Linked DNA regions of Oryzias latipes. The protein of the gene in region 2 interacts with the protein of the main gene of each other region in a biochemical or structural test. Links are inferred from orthologs where the notes say so. Each region holds a gene or a part of one and is shown on either strand. Other genes may lie near its edges.

Evidence for each region.
Region 1: the proteins of bcl-2-like protein 1 (region 2) and siva1 form a complex in vitro, tested with the Homo sapiens proteins (2 studies listed by BioGRID and IntAct). The link is inferred for Oryzias latipes from reciprocal best matches to the Homo sapiens genes BCL2L1 and SIVA1.
Region 3: the proteins of bcl-2-like protein 1 (region 2) and bmf interact in a test that uses a peptide from one of them, tested with the Homo sapiens proteins (2 studies listed by BioGRID). The link is inferred for Oryzias latipes from reciprocal best matches to the Homo sapiens genes BCL2L1 and BMF.
Region 4: the proteins of bcl-2-like protein 1 (region 2) and vdac1 form a complex in vitro, tested with the Homo sapiens proteins (4 studies listed by BioGRID). The link is inferred for Oryzias latipes from reciprocal best matches to the Homo sapiens genes BCL2L1 and VDAC1.

The regions. Positions count from the first base shown.
Region 1 is NC_019880.2:14,647,246-14,651,860, forward strand, and holds the end of siva1 (apoptosis regulatory protein Siva), read left to right. Parts: intron 1-1,716; coding exon 1,717-1,870; intron 1,871-3,491; coding exon 3,492-3,540; 3' UTR 3,541-3,692; downstream 3,693-4,615. UniProt on the Homo sapiens protein: Induces CD27-mediated apoptosis. Inhibits BCL2L1 isoform Bcl-x(L) anti-apoptotic activity. Inhibits activation of NF-kappa-B and promotes T-cell receptor-mediated apoptosis.
Region 2 is NC_019863.2:26,338,658-26,343,933, reverse strand, and holds the start of bcl-2-like protein 1, read right to left. Parts: upstream 3,278-5,276; 5' UTR 3,046-3,277; intron 2,467-3,045; 5' UTR 2,439-2,466; coding exon of another isoform or gene 2,408-2,438; 5' UTR 2,371-2,407; coding exon 1,858-2,370; intron 1-1,857. Other genes in the region: activity-dependent neuroprotector homeobox protein, read right to left, coding at 4,352-5,276. UniProt on the Homo sapiens protein: Potent inhibitor of cell death. Inhibits activation of caspases. Appears to regulate cell death by blocking the voltage-dependent anion channel (VDAC) by binding to it and preventing the release of the caspase activator, CYC1, from the mitochondrial membrane.
Region 3 is NC_019880.2:14,498,760-14,503,479, forward strand, and holds part of bmf (bcl-2-modifying factor), read right to left. Parts: intron 3,308-4,720; coding exon 3,191-3,307; 3' UTR 1-3,190. UniProt on the Homo sapiens protein: May play a role in apoptosis. Isoform 1 seems to be the main initiator.
Region 4 is NC_019872.2:4,165,428-4,170,147, reverse strand, and holds part of vdac1 (voltage-dependent anion-selective channel protein 1), read right to left. Parts: intron 4,100-4,720; coding exon 3,949-4,099; intron 1,909-3,948; coding exon 1,851-1,908; intron 1-1,850. UniProt on the Homo sapiens protein: Non-selective voltage-gated ion channel that mediates the transport of anions and cations through the mitochondrion outer membrane and plasma membrane.

The DNA.
Region 1 (4,615 bases), on a different chromosome or scaffold from region 2:
AGCGGAGAGATATTTGGATGTTACAATTCCCTGATGACGTCATCAATAGTCGCCGGTCATGCAAGTCAAGCAAGAACAAAACCTCAACACAAATTCCAAAAGACGGATGTATTCAACAAAAACCTTATTTTCACATCTCCCTTGGTAACTAGCCTGCATATAAGGTGCAACTAAGCTGTAAAAATGTTTGTTTAACAAAGCTTTTGTTTTGTGAGCTGCTGCTAGTTTTAGCATCTTGTAGAGAGAAACACTTCTCGCGCTAAACGGTCTGTTTCAGGTGTTGAAATGAATTTGTTGTACTCCCACTTTTAATAGCAACAGCCTTCAAATGCATTGTGCAGCATGCGTTTTGTGCTCAAAGTCTTAAGCCACAAAACCGAGACAGTTCCATATAAATGAAGAAACTGTGACTGTTTTGGGAACAAGCCTCTCTTTAGTTGTGCATCTGCGTGCAGCGAGAAGCGGGCATGCTGACCTTGCTCCGAGCAACGGAAGCCCTAGAAAGCAGAGTGCTGGGAAAATAAAATCCAGAATTTCCCAAGAACTAATCTTCTTAAATAACAAATTCGACTTTATCAATAAAAATCGATTTCTTGTCCAACCCCAATTGAGAAAAGTACTCAAACACAATTTTAAGCTCACTTTTCCTTAAATATTTTCCCCATCATGAGAAAAACATGTTTTGTAATTAGATGGATCTTTGAAGCAGTATCATATTGCCTCCCATTTTTATTTCTGCTTATGTTTAATATCCTGCCATCACAATAACCTGCAGCTGGTAGTTAAGTCATTTACTTTTTGTTGCTCTATCACCTTAGCTTCATAGAAAAGTGACCCTTAAAAGCTATTAAACTTTTTGTTGACATATGACAAAGTTTTTTCTATAGCAGTCGTTCTTTTCAATGTTAGTTTATTTTCTGTCAGCTTGAGTCTCTGCCTTTTTGCCCTTATTTGTACGCTTAAAGCCGGTGACCTAACAGTTTCTAATAGTGTTGTAGAATCTAGAGGCCTTCTTTTTAATCGTTTGATGGTTCCAGTTTTGCACGCTACTGCCTCCTTGTGGCTAGAGTTACACATTACCACCTGGAGTAGGTAACGGGTTCGTAGTTTTAACATACAGGATCGAAGCTGCTCCGGTTCTTTGTTGTTACTTTAAGATTTTTTACATGTTTTTTTTTTCATCGTTGATTAATTAAATTAATCATTTTTTCATCTTAAACTGGGATTTAGACATTTTTAGTTTGATTAGCTAAATTCTTGGGTTTAAAAAAAAAATTAATGTCCACCAAAACAAGAACATGTTTTAATTCTTTTTCCCTGTGCAGATGTTTTAATTGTTTGACAAAAGCTTAAACTTCTTGGGTTTTAGGCCCCTTGGATCACATTAACCCTTGTGCTGTTCTAGGCACTTTAACATTGGGAGTTGGGTCATCTAGACCCACTAGACAGTGCACTGAACCTTTTTTCTTCAATGATTTGTGATCTTCTCTGGTGTCCATGGATTACATGAAATCCTCTTCACCTTTATCCACCTTTGTCATGGTAGGAGGAACACGTCAATGTAAGGGTGGGGTCATCCAAGATAGCACGAGGGTTCAAAGGATTTGGTTCACTTAATACTTTCCACCAGCAGGTGGCAGAGTTCATACAAGTTTGCCCACCTTATCAGACTAACTTCACTGCTTTGCTAAAGGCTCATGTTTGTGACTTGTCCAGGTAACCCAGTGGGTCCCACAGGTTGCTGTGTGTGTCAGAAGAGCCAGGGACCCAGGACGCCGTGTTCTCAGTGTGATCGACTGGCGTGTTCATCCTGTGTCCGACAGTGCTCCAACTGCTGCAGCTTATGCTGCTCTGTCTGCACCATCTTAGAGTAAGTTGAAAACTTGAAACTAAACTCTGTTCACCCGTCTCTATACAAAAGCCCGTTAAACTTTGATTGAAAGCCTCTTTACAGTTATTGTGCCTCATTGTTGTAACAAATGTTCATTTTAATCAAAAATCTATTAAGTAAAAAGCAATTTGTTTCTGCAAGTCTGCCACTCCTAAATTACTGTCATATTGATATTCACCTGTTGACTCCTGCTGATTAAATGACAGCCAGAGTGTTTTTCAAAGCCTTAAAGAGCCACTAGATTATTCTTATCATGCGATCAAAAATTGGGCCCAATCATGTCGTTTCAGACTTGATCGGAATTGAATGTTGAATCCCGATCATAATCAGATATTCATTTTATCCTCATTATTATGATCAGTGCCATATATTGGAATCTTATTACAACAGATATATTTTCTGCGCTTGGCCCATGTTCACAATGTTTTCTAGTGCATGTCTGCCCCCTTCATTGAAAGAGGCTTGGTGTGAAATGTCAATGGTGCAAATCTGGTGAATCTTGCTCCAGGCTTTTTCCTTCACAGCTCTGTTCCGATACACGAAAGACCTGGTGTCATAGAATTCCTGCTTCCTTAAAACACAAATATTCATTTCTCTTCCATGGTCATTTTTCATACAGTCGGCCTCTTCTGTGAATGAAAAGGGACGCCAACGATACTTCACTTTTACATCTAAGGCCCTGATTGCTCAACGTTTGACCTGGTTTAACTTTCAACGCTCGTTCATTTGCTACACATGTTTTTTACATGGAGGCTAAAAACGGCCGTAGAAACTTGCACAGCGATGCGTGAACGCCAGGGTCATGAACTTCATTGGAACTGGCCGCTTGAACCTGAGTTGCAGAGTGTGGTGTGAACGTAGCTTTAAGATCATTGGATGTTGGTTGGAAAAGCTCGTGAATGTAAACGATCCTTCAGGTTTGGTTCAAAGACTTACAAATATGTTTCTGTCAATATAAGTAAACCCCTGATTGATTTGAAATGAAACCTAAAGAAGGTTGCTTTAACTTTAATGCATTTCCATTAAAAATGAACCAGGACAGTGTTTTTTCTTTTGGTTTTATCCTAAATAATGCATGTTGGAGATTCTATTTACTTATGGAGTTTAGTCATATTGGTTGACGTCAAATCCTTCGATCTGTCAAACCGTTGGTGCTCACTCACAGCTGCCACGACATGAAACATGCAGTAAAAACCAAAATCAGCAATAACTAATAATTAACTCATAATTACTCAAATGAACACAGTTTTCCATTTTTATTAAGAATAAATAGAATTTCTTTAAACAACTGGTCCTCCCATCCTATTTTAAGATTTAGGTATCTTGATCAATCTTCCTGTCTTCCCTTAAGGGTATTGTTTTATTTCTGTTTTTTTCCATAATTTTCTTTTGACTACAACATTTCTTGAATCCAAACTAAAGAGGATGAAGCTTCACACAGGAGGAAGCATACTTTAGAAGCTGAAAGTGGGACTCTTCGCTTTCAGTCAACTGTAGTTAAAGTTTTTTGTTGTTTTTATACATTCCTAATCATAAATCACATTGAATTAATGAAGAGGCTGTTTGAATCATAACGTGAGGAATCTTTCATGTGTTGCAGTTACAGCGGGCGGTACGATGAAGTACTCTGCTGCGGCTGCTCTACGTAAAGGAAGACCAAAGGCTGGAACACAAATGTATATTTAAACACTGTAATTGCATTAATTGATATTTTATACCCTTTTTTTCTTAATTCATGTTTATGTAAATATTGTCATTTGAAGGTTTGATTGAATAAACTTGAACCCTTTTTAGAAACGTTTTTGTGATTGTGGTTTTGTATTGTCTATTTTACCTTTTAATAGACACACAAATATAGAAAAAGGAGCTCAACATGGAGCTAGAAGGTTTGGGATGACTGCACAGCGGCAGGAGGTCGCGCCCTCCATACTCGGTGGAGGAATAAACCACCCAAACTTAGAAAGTATTCCTAATCCACTCCTTGAATGTACCAAAGAACAACATCTGACTCCTTGTATTCTGACTGACACTGATAATCAAATTGCAGCTTGTCCACACTGACCTTGTACATCTACTATCAAATGTATTTCAAATAAAACAAGTGCTGAGCGGTAAAGCAGGCTGCAGTCATCCCTGCTGGACGTGACCTTTGGGTGGAGTCATCTCTTTCAGTTGGCTGCTGCTCATCGCAGACGACGATCCGTTTCAGGGTCAGATGCTGAACGCTCTGAGTAATAGTTCTTCATGGCAAAGGTCCACAACGGGACTTTAGAAAAGTCTCGTCTTGTGACACTGTTATGGATACGGGCTGGGATGAGTGAGTGCATGTGAGCTTTTTAGTCACATCGGCTGCTCAGCGGCCCAGTTGTGGCCCCCGTCTTTTGGGAGCTCTTGCAGTTGGTGGCCCAGGGCACCGCTTGATTTCTGCTTGAGTGAGCAGACAGCTGCTGGCAAAGGGTGGCGTCAGGTTGTCTGCACATTACCCGATAAGACTCATGAATACGGAATACTTGAAAGAAAAACATTTATTGTTGAAGTCTGAACAGTTGATGTCATGGCCGCAAGAAACGCCGCGACTGATGCTGATCAGATGGAAGAAATCACAGTTCCTGCAACTTCTCATTTAGTCTTCGACCAAGCGCCCGTCTCTTCTCCTTACAGAGCTTTGAAGAAAACAGAGTTGTCAGGCTTTTCCGTGCATATTTATCCATGCAACTTAAAGGT
Region 2 (5,276 bases):
ACTACATCTCCCATGATGCATTGGCTTAAAGGGACAGCGTCTTGAAAACACAACGAACATACAGCTTGTATGTAACTTAACTTTTATTACATCTTTTAGAAAAACATCTGCAACTTCCTGCTTTTTCTGCCACAATTATCACAAAAATGCACGTCAGATTGCCGGGGGGGGGGGGGGGGGGGGGGGGGGCTGTAAATCAAAACAGACTATGAGTTTCTGCTTCTTTTTTTTTTTTGGGATGCTGGTGTGCCGCGGGATTTTTGTCAAGGTTAAAGTGTGCCGTGGCTCAAAAAAGGTTGAAAAACACTGAACTAGAGCAATCCATCAATGCTGAGGCATTATAGAGCTCAATGTGGCAGCACAGAATATGAAAATCCTCATGGGAGTCTTTGACATGTTCAAAAATAGTCTTTGTGTGTGTTTGCAATATTATTAATAAAAATTAAGCTTTAAACTAAAGATTTTTTTTTAACTTGCAGTTCCTAACAAGCAACGGATGAGGCCACGGTGAAGATGATCACGAAAGACTGTCAACCACTCATTGCTGTTGAAGATGAGGGATTCAAGGGTTATTGCACTTTCATACGAAGTCCTACCAAGAGAAATCATTTTGAAACAAAGACTACAAAAACTTTTGTTTCTTATTAAAATGTATGAATGAATCCATTTTTAGACTGTTATTCTGTGTGTAAAGTAAAAGATTAAAAAAAACGGCGAGCGGATGCATCAGAATGGAGCAGAGCAGGGAGCTTGTGACCTACTGATTGTAGTTTCTGTCACAACTACAGGCTTTTTTTGTCTTCTCCTGATTCACAACATTTTGAATAAAGAAATACTCAAAAATTGCAGTTTAAAAAAATATATATATATATATATATCCTCCATCATGAGAAAAATGTTACAAAAACATGTTGACATGATCCCATTTTAATTCAAGTGGGGCTTTAACAGTTTCAGAATTACTGCAGGGGTCACTATAGAGGAATCAACACTTTGTCAATACAGTGTTGAGAAATTAACACTCCTTTAGGCATCATCATCCCATCACTATATCACTGTAATTCCACTGCTATTTCCAAAGGATGTCTAAGCTTTGTTTTTATCATAAATGTTATAAATGCTTAGTAAATCTTTAATGGGCTCATATCAAGCAAATTCAACTTTTTGAGCTTTTAAGTTACTGTAATGTTAATTTCTCACACAAAAAATGAGTCGTCTCACTTCCAGGTAGAAAATAACTTGAAAATAATAAGAAATTCTTATTTTGTGTGCCAAAGGTAATATATGATCCTATATATGAAAATAGTTTACTCTAAAATGCTTCGACAAAGCGTAATATAGGCCCTTTAAACAGACTTGACAGGGAGTTTTCAAACACCATCCACTTCACTTTAAAAAAAAAAAAAAAAAACAATCTCCATGTAAATGTCTAAGATGTTGGTTTTTCCTCTTCAAAAAAAATAGATGGAAGAATGTTTTCTGCTGAACGTAAATCAGATTTGAAACTATAAAAAAACAGAAAACTGGGTTTCTGCCAAAATGCTTAACTTTTGACTTAAAGTGGCTTCTGGAGAATCAGGACTTAGGAAATTCTTTTACAGCTCCACAGTTCCAATAAGTAAATGTTGCTTTTTTTTAAAAGTTTTAAAGTTATATAAAGGATCAGAATGAAAGATGACTATAGAGATGCAGCAATTAACTAACTCTGTCAAAAAAACAAACAGGATAAAACAGAACTTTGAATGTCAAGAAAACTGAAGATATGGACTCAACAATGAAAACATAAACTTACAGACACCGTCCACTTGATCCTGGACCAACATTAAAAAATCATGACTATGTCAGGAAGAGACTCACCCATCCTCCATGACTGTGGATCCATGGACTTATTTGCTCATCCAGGTACTGGGTCATCCATTCAGCAATGCGGGAGACCAGCTCACCCATATTCCTCTCGACACACTCGACACACAGCGCACCACCAAAGACAAACAAACCCACAACGCGCCCCCAGTTGATCCCATCCTTGAACAGCTCATCCAACACCCTTTTGAAGTTTTGGTAGGCCGTGTCTGGAGTGATATGAAGCTGCACGGAGAGATCACTAAAACCTTGATGGAAACGACGTTCAAACTCATCGGCCGAATCTTTGAGAGTTGATTTGATGGCGTCCATGCTAGCACAACAGGGACAGGACCTCCTCAGCCGGCCGTCCTCACTGCTGACCAGCCTGCGATTCCGGGCATCGGAGTGGTCCTCTTCAGTTTCTCCCCCATCGTCTGTGGGCTTCAGCAGGGACACAGGATAGTCCCTGCATGACATCTTATAGGCTAAATAGAACCGGACCAGCTCTCTGTTACAGTGGGACATTGTGTGAGCTTGAACCTCCAGTGTGAAGCCAACCTACTCAGATGCCATGATTTCTTCCACTTAGTCATCTGTCACGTCAGAGATTCTTTATGCAACCTGCAAGCACACAGCAGGCAAAGTGACTTTATCCTTCTATGCAGCTTATGCATCAGGTTTAGAACAGGTTTTTAGAGAATCATCAGTTTAAACTGATGAATCATCAGTTAAAATCATCAGGTCTTTAGAGAATTTCCCCATTGTGAGATGATTAAGCTAAATAAAGTTTTATCTAATCTAAAACATATTTGACTTTGATGGCTAAACTTAATTATATGCTTTCACTTTCGCACTACTAAATAAATGTTTAAACAATCGGAACAAACTTAACAGCCAGGGTTAGCTAGTCTGCAAAACGTTAGAGCAAAAATGAAACGAAAACTATGATAGCAAGAAGTCACCCGCTTTACCTAACAATTCACATTTCAACCTTAGCTAAATAGATTAATCTTACGACGCGTATAGTATCAAACAAATGTCTCTACGTGTCAACTTTTTAACCCTTATTTTTATATACAAGCCTGTTAGCCTCGCGTGCTAAACTACCTGCTAAGGAAACACAACAACGGCGTAAGCGCGTCGAAAGCACAGCTATAGTGTTTGTTTGTTGTTGTTTTTGCTTTAATAAATCATACTTACAGCAGTTTTAGGATTTATTTTGTGTTGACTGAGCATTCTGATCAGGTAATATTTAAACAAGAGCCCAGAAATACATATATTTTTTGTAACAGTCTCTTACTTTGACACTAAAGTGACGTACACTGGAAGAGAGCCAATCGAATAACTGAATTAGACACAAGTCCCGCCCTCTTCTGCTTTCCACCAATCATCAAATCTGGATTTCCGACCTGGTTGCTCCTATTTTCTTCATTCAGTGTCGAGTGACAGTTGTAAACGGGAACAAACATGTGAGCAAAATCTTATTTTTAACGTGTTCTTGTAGCGTTTTTCTGATTATGGAGAGCATATATGAAGACATTTAAGTATAAAATTACATTCCCGGCAATATCTTTATGCAAATCGCTGTGAGTCAGGTGAAAAGAACTTTTCTTGTGACGTAGAAAATACGCTGGGCAGCCCAAAAACTATTTTCCCTGGGAGGGAAGGTGGGGTTGTAACTTGCAAATGCTCCTGCCGACTTCCTGAGGCAAAATTTTAATGAACTACTGCCACCGTGCAGAAACTGTCCCAAAAAGCAGATTTTTTTCAATTTTATTTTAGTGTATTAAAAAAAAAACATTATCATAATTACTGGGAATGCTTTGGAAATATCACTAAAGATGATCGGAGTGGGATTTTTAAATTTATCCAACATAAAACTACGTAAGCATAGCTTAACGCCGAAGTTCAGTTCATGGAGCCAATTCATCCTTGTAGGAACGCATACCATAAAATTCCAAGATTATAAGAAAAATGTAAAAACTGATCACTACTGCCTTATTACCCAACACAATCATTAAGCTGAGCTTAAGTGTTAAGAATTGTCCTTACCTACTTGATAAAAGCTAGTCAAATTTTGTTTAAACTAGATTTTCCTGAATAAAGATTCTTAATTAAAAACTTAAATTAGGAAATTATACTTTGGTAGAGACAGGGTACAACAAAAAAACTTTTAATAACACATCATATAATCATTTACATACACTTTTAACATATTTTACATTTTCTAAAAGTGAATAACCAAAATTCATCTTAGCTGAGTGGAAAAAAGTAAACAAGTAAAATATTACAAAGATGTGACAAAACCCAGTAAATACAAAATGCAAAGAAACTAACAATGACATAAGTATATACAAAACGACTAACATGATGTTTCATGAAATACGGTATTATGTAGCATAGTCCCTTAAATGAATGCGTTCAGAAAGGTAAGAGTTTCAATTTTGTTTTTATGGTGTCATTGGAGTTCTTGTTTTAAATGTAAACTCCACTAAAACTAACAGCTTTATGTTGAACACAAGCGGCTCACACCAGCATTTTCTTTATTTCCTTGCAAAGAACTTTCATTGTCATCGTCATGTCTCGCAATTTTTTTCTCACCTTGAATTGAGATCCAATTTGGTTTCTCATCTTGCAGTGAACTTTCATTTTCTTCCCCATTTTGCAGAGCGCTCTCCTTTTCTCCAGCGTTTTCTGTGACATCTTGGAGAGAGCTTTCCTCAATTTCTTCCTCGTCTTGCAGAGGGCTTTGGCTTTCTCTCTCATTTGGCTTTGAATTTCCACTGTCTTTCTCATCCTGCTGAGGACTTGGAATTTCCTTCTCATCCTGCTGAGGACTTGGAATTTCCTTCTCATCCTGCTGAGGACTTGGAATTTCCTTCTCATCTTGTGGAGGACTTGGAATTTCCTTCTCATCCTGCTGAGGACTTGGAATTTCCTTCTCATCCTGCTGAGGACTTGGAATTTCCTTCTCATCCTGAGGAGGACTTGGAATTACCTTTTCATCCTGAGTAGGACTTGGAATTTCCTTTTCATCCTGAGGAGGACTTGGAATTTCCTTTTCATCCTGAGGACTGGGAATTTCCTTTTCATCCTGTGGAGGACTTGAAATTTCCTTCTCACCCTGCGGAGGACATGGAAATTTTTTCTCATCCTGTAGAGGACTTGGAATTTCCCTCTCATCCTGCGGAGGACTTGGAGATTCCTTCTCATCCTGCGGAGGACTTGGAGATTCCTTCTCATCCTGCGGAGGACTTGGAGTTTCTTTCTCATCCTGCTGAGGACTTGGAGTTTCCTTCTCATCCTGCGGAGGACTTGGAGTTTCCTTCTCATCCTGTGGAGGACTTTGAACTTCTTTTTCATCTTGCAAGGGGCTTGGGATTTCCATCTCAGTTGGCAGATAACTTTCCTTTTCTTTCTCATCTTGTGGA
Region 3 (4,720 bases), on a different chromosome or scaffold from region 2:
AACACCACTAAGAACATTTTTGTAAAAAGGGCACTATGGTGGCTTGTTTCCCTTTTCAATAAATCAACAGGCCTGAACCTACATGCTAAATGCACAGATATACGACTGACATGCGGCCAGATGAGCCCAAAAGAACGATCCAGAGTATATACTATACATTAACGCACAACAGGAAAGAGACCTAAAAGTTTTAAAGAAACAAAGTACTTTCCAGTGCATTTGATTACAACACAACCATTTAACAAAAGGACCGACAACCATACTGACATCCTGTGACTTGTGGCAAGTGATGGCAACCTTAGCGGGCGCACTTTATACTTTTTCCCATCCCGACTCTCATTATGGGATGGGAAATGACTCATTGAGTGTAAGGGATTAGTCATGATGTGTTGACAGACTGAGCCCTGTTGAAACTACTGCTCGTCTGAAACCACATACAGTGTGGTGGGGGATAATAAAACGGCTCTAAATTTGTTGGAATGGTTTATATGGAAAATTGCAACCTTTTATTGTGAAAATATGCCTCCTAAAGTTTTCTTTCTTTATGTTTTAGGTTTTATTACTAATAGTTAGCAGTCACTGACACTTGCAGGTTTTTTCCCCCACTGTTTTTTTTCTGTGCCCAATGGAAGAGGAGTGATGCCAAAATAAGAGTATCACAGGAAGTGACACGAGGCGCAGTGATGACAAACATGCTGCACAGGGTCAAAGTTTGAGTCCAAAACAGGAAGAAGAGAATAAGCAGTGATTGCACACACACACACGTATACAGTAGAGATGGGTAAATATTTCTAAAAAGTAAAAATAAATAAAAGAAAAAAAAATAAATTACAAAGAAAATACACGTGATGAAGGAGCAGCACAAAGAGGTCAGGCGCCATTCAGGAGGTTGGGGGTGGAGGGACGAGGCACTACAGAGACTGGCTCAGCGTTCAGGATCCGCAGGAAACTATAACCACAACCGCTTTCAGTGCACCTCATACGCCTCATACTCAGAAGGCCCCCGTCACCGCCACAGCCAGCAAATCAGAATCCTCAGTCACTCACGACAGATTGCCTGAGGGGCGGAATTTGTAAATGATAATGACTTTATATCACTTTTGGTTGCTATTAGGTAGCATGACATTACTATTCCTGTAACTGTGTAACTAATTCTCAAGGTTTCCAGTAGCCAACAAAATCTGTCCCTGAGACGTCTTGAGAAAAACAAAAAAGAATGGTGCAGTCATAAACTTGACACATGTAAGAAGGGACTAGTTACAGCACAGACCCCTGACATGTGCTGCTCCTTAGATTCAAACCATGGCCGAGGTTAGGCAAGAAAAAAACAAAAAAGAACAGCATTTTTAACAGTGTTTTGAAACATATTCATAGAAAAATGACAGTCTTTTTTCTTTCACTTTTTCATTTCAGAAACTGTCTACTGACCCATTGTTGGTTGTGCTCGCATTATAGATCCTAATCTGAAAATCAGCACCAACAACATCATATGATGAAGTAAACCCGGCAAAGATGTCCTGAGTGGGATGAGGTTTTTTTCCTCAGTCATTCTTTCATTTAGTTTGGATTTTTTTTCAGAAAAGAGGAAAAGCAAAGATTGCTTTGCAGGAAGCTCCAACTCAACTTGAGCCTGAAACGGGAGAGATAAATGGAGAAAACCGACATCCACTTTAGACTCCGGACTGTGCTCAGTCAGGCCTCAACACTGATCGGTTGCCGCCTTAAACGTGCATGCAAGTACATCTGAAATGTTGCGCTAATGAAAACCTTCATGCAAGACAGAAGCTGACTTGGTAACAATCGGAACTCTTCAAAGGTGGAAGTCTAGTGCAAAAACAGTGGATCCACAGCTCCACTTCAAAGGGCATGGAGGTCTGAAAGCAATCACATACGATGACGCAGCTAAAACTAAACTATTTGTTAGACACTGAGGGGCAAAAAATTATCAAACTAGAAATAAGAATTCAAAGTAAAAAAACAGAATCTAAATAAAAACAATAGAGTTGGCAAAACCGGATCATTTTGGGGAGGATTGCTCCTTTTAACAGTGTGCTTTAATCTTTTGTTCGAATTTAGTGCAAAAGCACCCATTTGTTTTTATCATTATGCCTTTAGTGTGCTACAACTACGACACTATGAATCGTCTGTCAGTAAAATTATCTAGACAAATGCATATCTGCTTATATTTGTGAGCATTAAGACATAACGGGGTCCTAATGTTACTTTAAAGGAAAACAGTAACATAGGATTAAAATCAAAGTGACAGAAATTGAGGTTTTAATCAAGTAGTTAAGCATTTTTTTTTACCAAATATACAATTTGAATCCACTGAAATTGTTGCCGCTGAGTGGTTTTAAAGGTTTTTCTTTCTTTGTGTGTTTTTATAAAGTTTGCCGATGGTTACTGATGGGTTTGCCTGCAAAGAAAGGTTCTGACAAGGTCTTTTTTGATTTTTGCATGCAGCTTATAGTAGATGCCTAAAATTATTTTACAGTGGGACAACTCTTTCATGTGCATAAACTGCAGGTCATTTCAGTTGTTTTGTCTAAAATTAATCAGGAAAGTCAATTTATTATAAAAAAAAATCATGAAGGCGTAATAAAAGGTAAGTTAATGATCAAAAAGATGAGGGGAAAAAAAGAACACCGCTGAGGTGGGGTGCAAAATGCAATGTTCTGAGACGCTGCGTCTTTGGGAGCTAGTAAATCCATTAAACTGATCCAACTGAGAGACTTCTGGACAAAAATATTAAAAAAAAAAAGCACAAACTCTTTCATTTTCTTTTCATGAAACCTTTGCTTGTTTTAAAAAATACTCAATTTTTCCTTCTTATAGAAAACACTGAATAAGGCATCCCCAGGGTCTGCAGAGGTCATTTATCGTGGGTCTATGTTAAGAGTGCAAAATTGAACATTAAACTGTACAAAACCAGCACACCACATGTATGACAAAATATTAACATTGTCCTTTAGAGGAATCTTGGGAGGATTATGGCATCTTCTTGCAAGAAACGCACGTGACCTTGTAAAAAAAAAAAAAAAAGAAAGTTGGATGTCTCCGTCCCGCGGCGACCTTTATTGTCTCCTCTTTTTTTCTCCCTCAAACAGACCCGTGTTACATTTGACAGTGCCTACAGGAGGCCAGTTCCTAACAGAGATGAAGGCATTGGACATAAGGGGGCGGATCCCCCTTACCTTTGTCCTGCACCCCCTGCTCCAGCAATAAAGCCTCTATCGAATAGAAGGCTGACGAGAGCCGTGGCGAGGCGCCACCACACCGGCCCCTGGTTCCTTTGGTTTCGATGATACTGAAAGGACAACAGAGAGAAAAAATTAAAGACACGCTCGATTTACGTTACTTTTATTTCAACCCAAATGTATTTTTCGGTTATTATATTGCAAATAATTTTTACTGTATTTTATTTATCTCTAACTTGATTTTATTTGAACTGGCATTCATGTATTTACCTGACTGAAAGAACTGTATATGTATATATTTATGGTTCTGATGCGCTCACTATTGACGACTAGATGTATATCTTCATTTTCCTTGCTCAAACTGTACAGCTTTTTGTCCTGACTTTGCTTATTAGAGAAGCTTCAGGATCCCTCCACACACTGCTGATCTTCCCAACAGAAACTCCAAGTCATAAAAAACAGTCATCAAGCAGTTGCAGCTTTTTTTTTTTTTTTCTGGCAGAAGCCAGCAGCTGAGGAGGAGACTCCCAAAGCTTTGCGAGCCAATTGGATTGTGTGCGATTAGAGGGATAATGCTATCTCGGCCATTGAGACCTGAGATAAGATAATTGCACCAAATGGGATTAAGGAGGGGGGGGGGGGTGATGAGAGGCAGGCAGTCTGTGGAAAACCTGTATCTGCATGAGAGAGCTACAGTAGTCTAACAGCTCATCTGACGACAAAAGGCAGACTCCAACCACGTCTGATAAAGAGTGCAGCTATTTTCAACCCATCAGAGCAGTCAAGTGAAGACGAGGAGTTTTTATGACCTTCTTGAAAGCTATTTATTCTTATTTGTGAGACAAAATAACTGTAGGCAAGGTTAGATGTTCACTTGTCTCAGCGTGGTAACCTAACCTTGTTCTAGTTAGTAGCCAGGAACAGTGGTACGCTGGCGGGTTTATATTGCTGACTCTTATCAGTTTAATGGCTAACATTGCGTGGTGTTGCATAAGCACTGACAGTTTCCCGACAGCATGACTTTATCGCACTTGCCACTTGTGAAGAAAAGAATTATGGAAACGGCTTCCATGAGGTTCTCTGTGGCACGCGATGTTTGGGGCAAACTTTGGCTATATTGAAAGAAAAGTGCAAAGAAAGTGATGCAGCGCCATAAACTCCAAGACACAACAAAGACTGAACAATGTTGTTGTCAAAAGAGGAAGTCACAGGTAAACTAATATCTCCATCAGTTTGAGACGTTTGATGACGACAAGTTTCAATGTTTTTTCTAAGAGACTGCAGAACGGAAAGTGGAGTTTCTTTACCATCTATTTGAGAGGTCATTTGTCTTTACAGACAGAAACAAATTGTACCTTTGAGCTTTTACACTCAGCTCTGTCAGCTTAAGTGATACTCAGATAAATAGTCAAAGACAGAAAAGGGGAGGGAAAACAAAAGGTGGGTGCGAGCCCGTCACATATTACTCGTGGCTCATGCTGCCAGCTGTCAAAAATGAGTCCTGGCTTCCAAATTTAGCTCCG
Region 4 (4,720 bases), on a different chromosome or scaffold from region 2:
TACCGCAAATTTATCGTTATCGCGACATCAAGCTGTGCAAAATGCATACCGCAAAAGACGGCGAAAATTGCAATAAACGGTTACCTTAAATGTGCTAAAACATACTCATGGCAGCTTGAAATATTGAACAAATGAAATAAATCCCTTTATGCATTTAACCAATCAGAAGGACCCGTTTACGTTGTTGATCAATCAGATGAGCCCTTTTATGTTTGATGTTTGCCTCCTACGTCAACAAGGGTCAGAGGGAGTATAATTTTAAACCGTTGCAGTGAAATGGAAATGATGTTTTTGGTTGTTTTGCCATTTGTTTATGTACCACAAATTACCGTAAATTCCGGACTACAAAGCGCACCCAATTACAAGCCGCACCCACCCATTTTCACGTGTTTGACTGCTTTTATACATACACAAGCCGTGTCAGAGTACAAGCCGCACATGTGTTAGGCGATATTGTCATCCTGACAGATCAAGGCCAGCATCCCAGAGTGAGTGTGATTCATTAGCACATTGTGGGTGGTGCCAGTTTTGCCTCTGGCTCATGTATTTGAGTGTATCGACATCTGTCATACAGCATGGACCTCTATTCTGTTCACAAGTTCCTCAGTTATGGTGTTTTTATTTCATTTTTTTTTAACTTATTGACAATCTAGATATCATACATAAAATTACAAACAGTAACCATATAATCAACATTACATCCCTCAGTTATGATGAGGAAATTTACATCCGCGATTCCACATTTCCCATGAGTCTTAGGGGCTAAAGGCGGGGCCAATGCCCGGCTCGCCATACTGTTGTACGTGTTTAAGAATGAGTATCAGCAGTGCATGGAGGGGTGAACGGGTACAGCTCTCCTTCCGCTTGTGTCGCGCAGCGTTATGGGAGTAACAGGACTGGTTAAAAAACACACTAGTAAAATAAAGCAGCGACGACTGAAAAGCGCGCGCCTCAGCGCGATACGCGCGCCTCAGTGCGGCGCGTGCGTCAGAATTCAGAAGCCTCTGCGCTCCGCTCCCGCCCCGCGCGCTCCTTGTCTCCCCTTCCTATCTACTCCGACACCTCTGGCCAGGGCGGCTTCAAGGAGGAGCACTTCGTCCCCGTTGCGCCGGTGTAAGGAGCAAATAGTTTCTGTGCAAAGCAATCGGACTTAATACTGTACGTTTTGTGTATGAGGGGCGGATGCGTTGTTACGTGTGGGAGCCATCAGACTGCCATCGGCCCCGCAGCTCAATCAGCAGGAGAGTTTTTCAAAGCAAAATTCCGCTTTTACGGTTTCCTTAGAAACCGTAAATGGAGTGTAAATTCACTCCATGCGCTGTTCTCTCCGTCATGCAGCAAACCGGCTTTTCCAAACCCGTTGGTGACGGTGGACTTTTTTACGCTGCTTTTAACGATTGCTTTTAACTTGAAAGCTTCATCATAATGTAGCGGCGATCACGTGCACGTTGGGTCTAATGGCCCCAAAGGATTCTGGGATGCGGCCGGGCATGCGTGTTTCGTTTTGTTGAACCATGACTGAAGTGTCTAAGACCTGAAGTCAAGTCCATGCTGTTTGGCTGCTAAGAGGTGTGTTGAATATAAATGCCTTGTGCTAGAATTCAAACTATTCACTGAGTTCGAAAGTACGTACATGGCGGCCGCCAATTAAATCCATAAATTAGCCGCGTCACTGAATAAGCCGCAAGGCTGTAAGCGCAGGAAAAAAGTAGCGGCTTATAGTCCGGAAATTACGGTATATCGTCATCGCAATATTAATCACCAATATCGCGAGTTTTCCTCATATGGTGCAGCCCTAATTTTTCCTATTCAGGTAGAAAATTCCCAAACTAGAAAGTAGCTTCACTCACCTGGCTTCAGAGTCTGAGTGTAGCCCAGACCCACGAGGCTGGAATTGTTCACCTTGGCCTGAGAAAGAACAGAGTTTAGCAACGTTAGAGCGGCTGAACGGGCTTTTATAGACACTTCAGTCTCACAGCCAGAGAGTCCTGGTTTGAATCCCAACTGGGTCCTTTCTATGTGAAGTTAGCATGTTCTCCTCGTGGGGGGGGAGTGTTTCTGGCTTAATGGCTTCCTCCCACAGTTCAAAAGCATTCTTTGTATGTTAATTGGTGCTTAGCTGTGAATGCGAGTGTGTAGTTGTTTGACTCTTTGTGGACTATGGACTGGCAAACTGTCCAGGGTGCAACACAACTGTAAATAAAGTAATAGGGATAGGCTCCAGCATCCCCATGACCCAAAACAGGAGGTAGGAGGTGTAGAAGATGGATGACTGCATTCATGAACAATTGAATACATTTTACTTACAAGTCAAGTAGGTTTAAAGTTAAGTGGGTCAAACAGAGATAAAAAAACTAAACATTTTTCCCTCTTCCTCTACTGACTTTCTGCTCAAACTTTTCAGAATAAAAAAAAAACAAAAAAAACAAAAATCCATCCATCCATCTTCTTCTGCTCATCCAGGACCGGGTCACGGGGGCAGCTGTCTAAGCCAGGGGTGTCAAACTCATTTTGGTTCGGGGGCCACATTCAACCTCTCTGATCTCAAGTGGGCCAGACCAGCAACATAAAAGCAAAATAACAGTTTTGTTTTTTTTTGTCATTTGGAAAAAATGCCTCAACCAACATGGTAGTCTATTATTTATTAATACACATTCATTCACAGAGGCCAAAAGGTCAATAGCTTTTAGGGAACAAGACTTCTGCAGCCTCCAGCATTTTTCTATAAGTTCACTATCTGAAAATGGTTTGGATGTTTGCTCCAACTTGTCTGCAATCAGGTGTCTGTCACTGCTCCATCACTGACGTCACGCTGCAGTAAATGCAGACGGTTGGTCTTCAGTCCAGCTAATAGTTGGTAAATCTTCTCTTTTCTTAACTGCAAATGGTGAAAATTTTCTTTATGGTGAGTCTCATATGTGCTGAATGTTGTATTCTTTGAGCCCTGTGACCTGTTGATGACGTAACAAGCAGGCAGGTTTTGCATTCGGCTCCATGAACAAATAATTCCTGGAAAGCTCAGCACTCCACTTCAACCTTTCTTTCTTTTTGACAACATTTTGGTCATTATTGTGTCACTACTGATCATTCTCATAGCAATGTAACAGCGGTGAGAATCTAAGAGAACCAAAATACATCTTACCCACACCCAAAGTTGTTAGGATTCACTTTTGAGAAATGCTGTTTCACCTGCTTTGCTTTTGCTTTTCTCCCCCTAGTGGCGGAATTGCGCACTTCGGTTATTTCTTTAAAAAATCATAAATGGGCAAAGGAATGGACTAGAATTTTAAGAATTTTTTTGTTTTTGTTTTTAAAACATCCTAAATTCTTTTACTTTTCATGACTGGGCCAGATTGAACCATCTAGTATATGTTTGACACCCCTGGTCTAAGCAAAGATGCCCAGACTTTACATTTGTCCGTGGAGAGGGAAGATGAAAACGTTATTAAAAAATACATTTAAATACAATTTTTTTTGTGCAACAATTGTTTATATGCAATGCATTGTGGTCTGTATATTTGCAAATCTAGTTAGCATCGATTCACACTGGTTTTCCGCAGAGACTTTCTAGGGCACTCGATTTTGGAACTGTAGATTCGTAAAAGCACCACAAAATGGTGAACAACCAAATAGAGCACTATGTAGTGAGTAGTGAAGGAATTCAGACATACTCAGTTACAAGACTTTTGGGTAAACAGGTTCAGATTATAAACAACCAATCAGAGTAATTAGCTCTGAGGGGGATTTAACCGAGGCTCAAGTTGGAGATAATTCAGTTGAAGCCCGTCTGTTCCAGACAGACTCTTCCTTTTGAACCTTTTGGCAGAAGTTCCCCTGCATTCCTATCTTGAAGACCTAACATACCATGCCAAGTTGGTCAGCAGAGGCAGTAGAGTGTGTAACTAAGACAACAACATTGTGAAGACCCCCATAGAAAAGGCTACTCACAGAAAAAGATGCGTCTGGATCAATCTGATACTTGGCAGCAATGCCAAAGCGAGTGTTGCTGTTTCCAGCTGTCCAGGACAGGTTGACGGCTGTCTCCAGCTGCTCGTTCACCTTCTGGTAGATGGATCCACCAAACTCTGTGCCATCATTTCTGAGGAGACATAGAAATATGTTGAACAGTGAGAAGGAAAAGGCATTTTTCCCTGTGGGGAACACTAGATGCTATAAACGAATGAAATGTGTTTTCGATGTTCCCTAAAATATCTTGGCGGTCTAGGACTGTGACATTCGTGGCAACGCACCACACTCAGGTGGACTTTCACCGATGCAAAGCCTGCATTAACCTCCGTCTCACCTTACATAACCACTTCAGCGGGGAAATAAACCCGGCTTTGCCAGAGGGGTGCTGCACGAACACTCTACCTTGTCCTTCCCTTCTGCCCCCTGAGACTGGCCCAGTCTGCCAATCACACTCACATATAGTAAATCCCATCACCTGGGTATAAAAATACCTCACTGGCACCTTCGTGCATGGCAAAAAGCCAAACAGGAAACGTAAAAGTTAGATGGCGAAGAAAATGTGTAGGACTCGTATAGAAGCAACAACAGAGAGTGAGAAAGTTTCATGCATAGTTAAAACTTCACTTTAAAGATAGAGTACTATTAATGTATGAGTCAACATGCTTAAAATATACTCCACAACCTTTTTCAGTTCTTTCTACATCAGTTCCATAAACTGAATTGAATTTGTGGCTCATTTATGACAGTCATT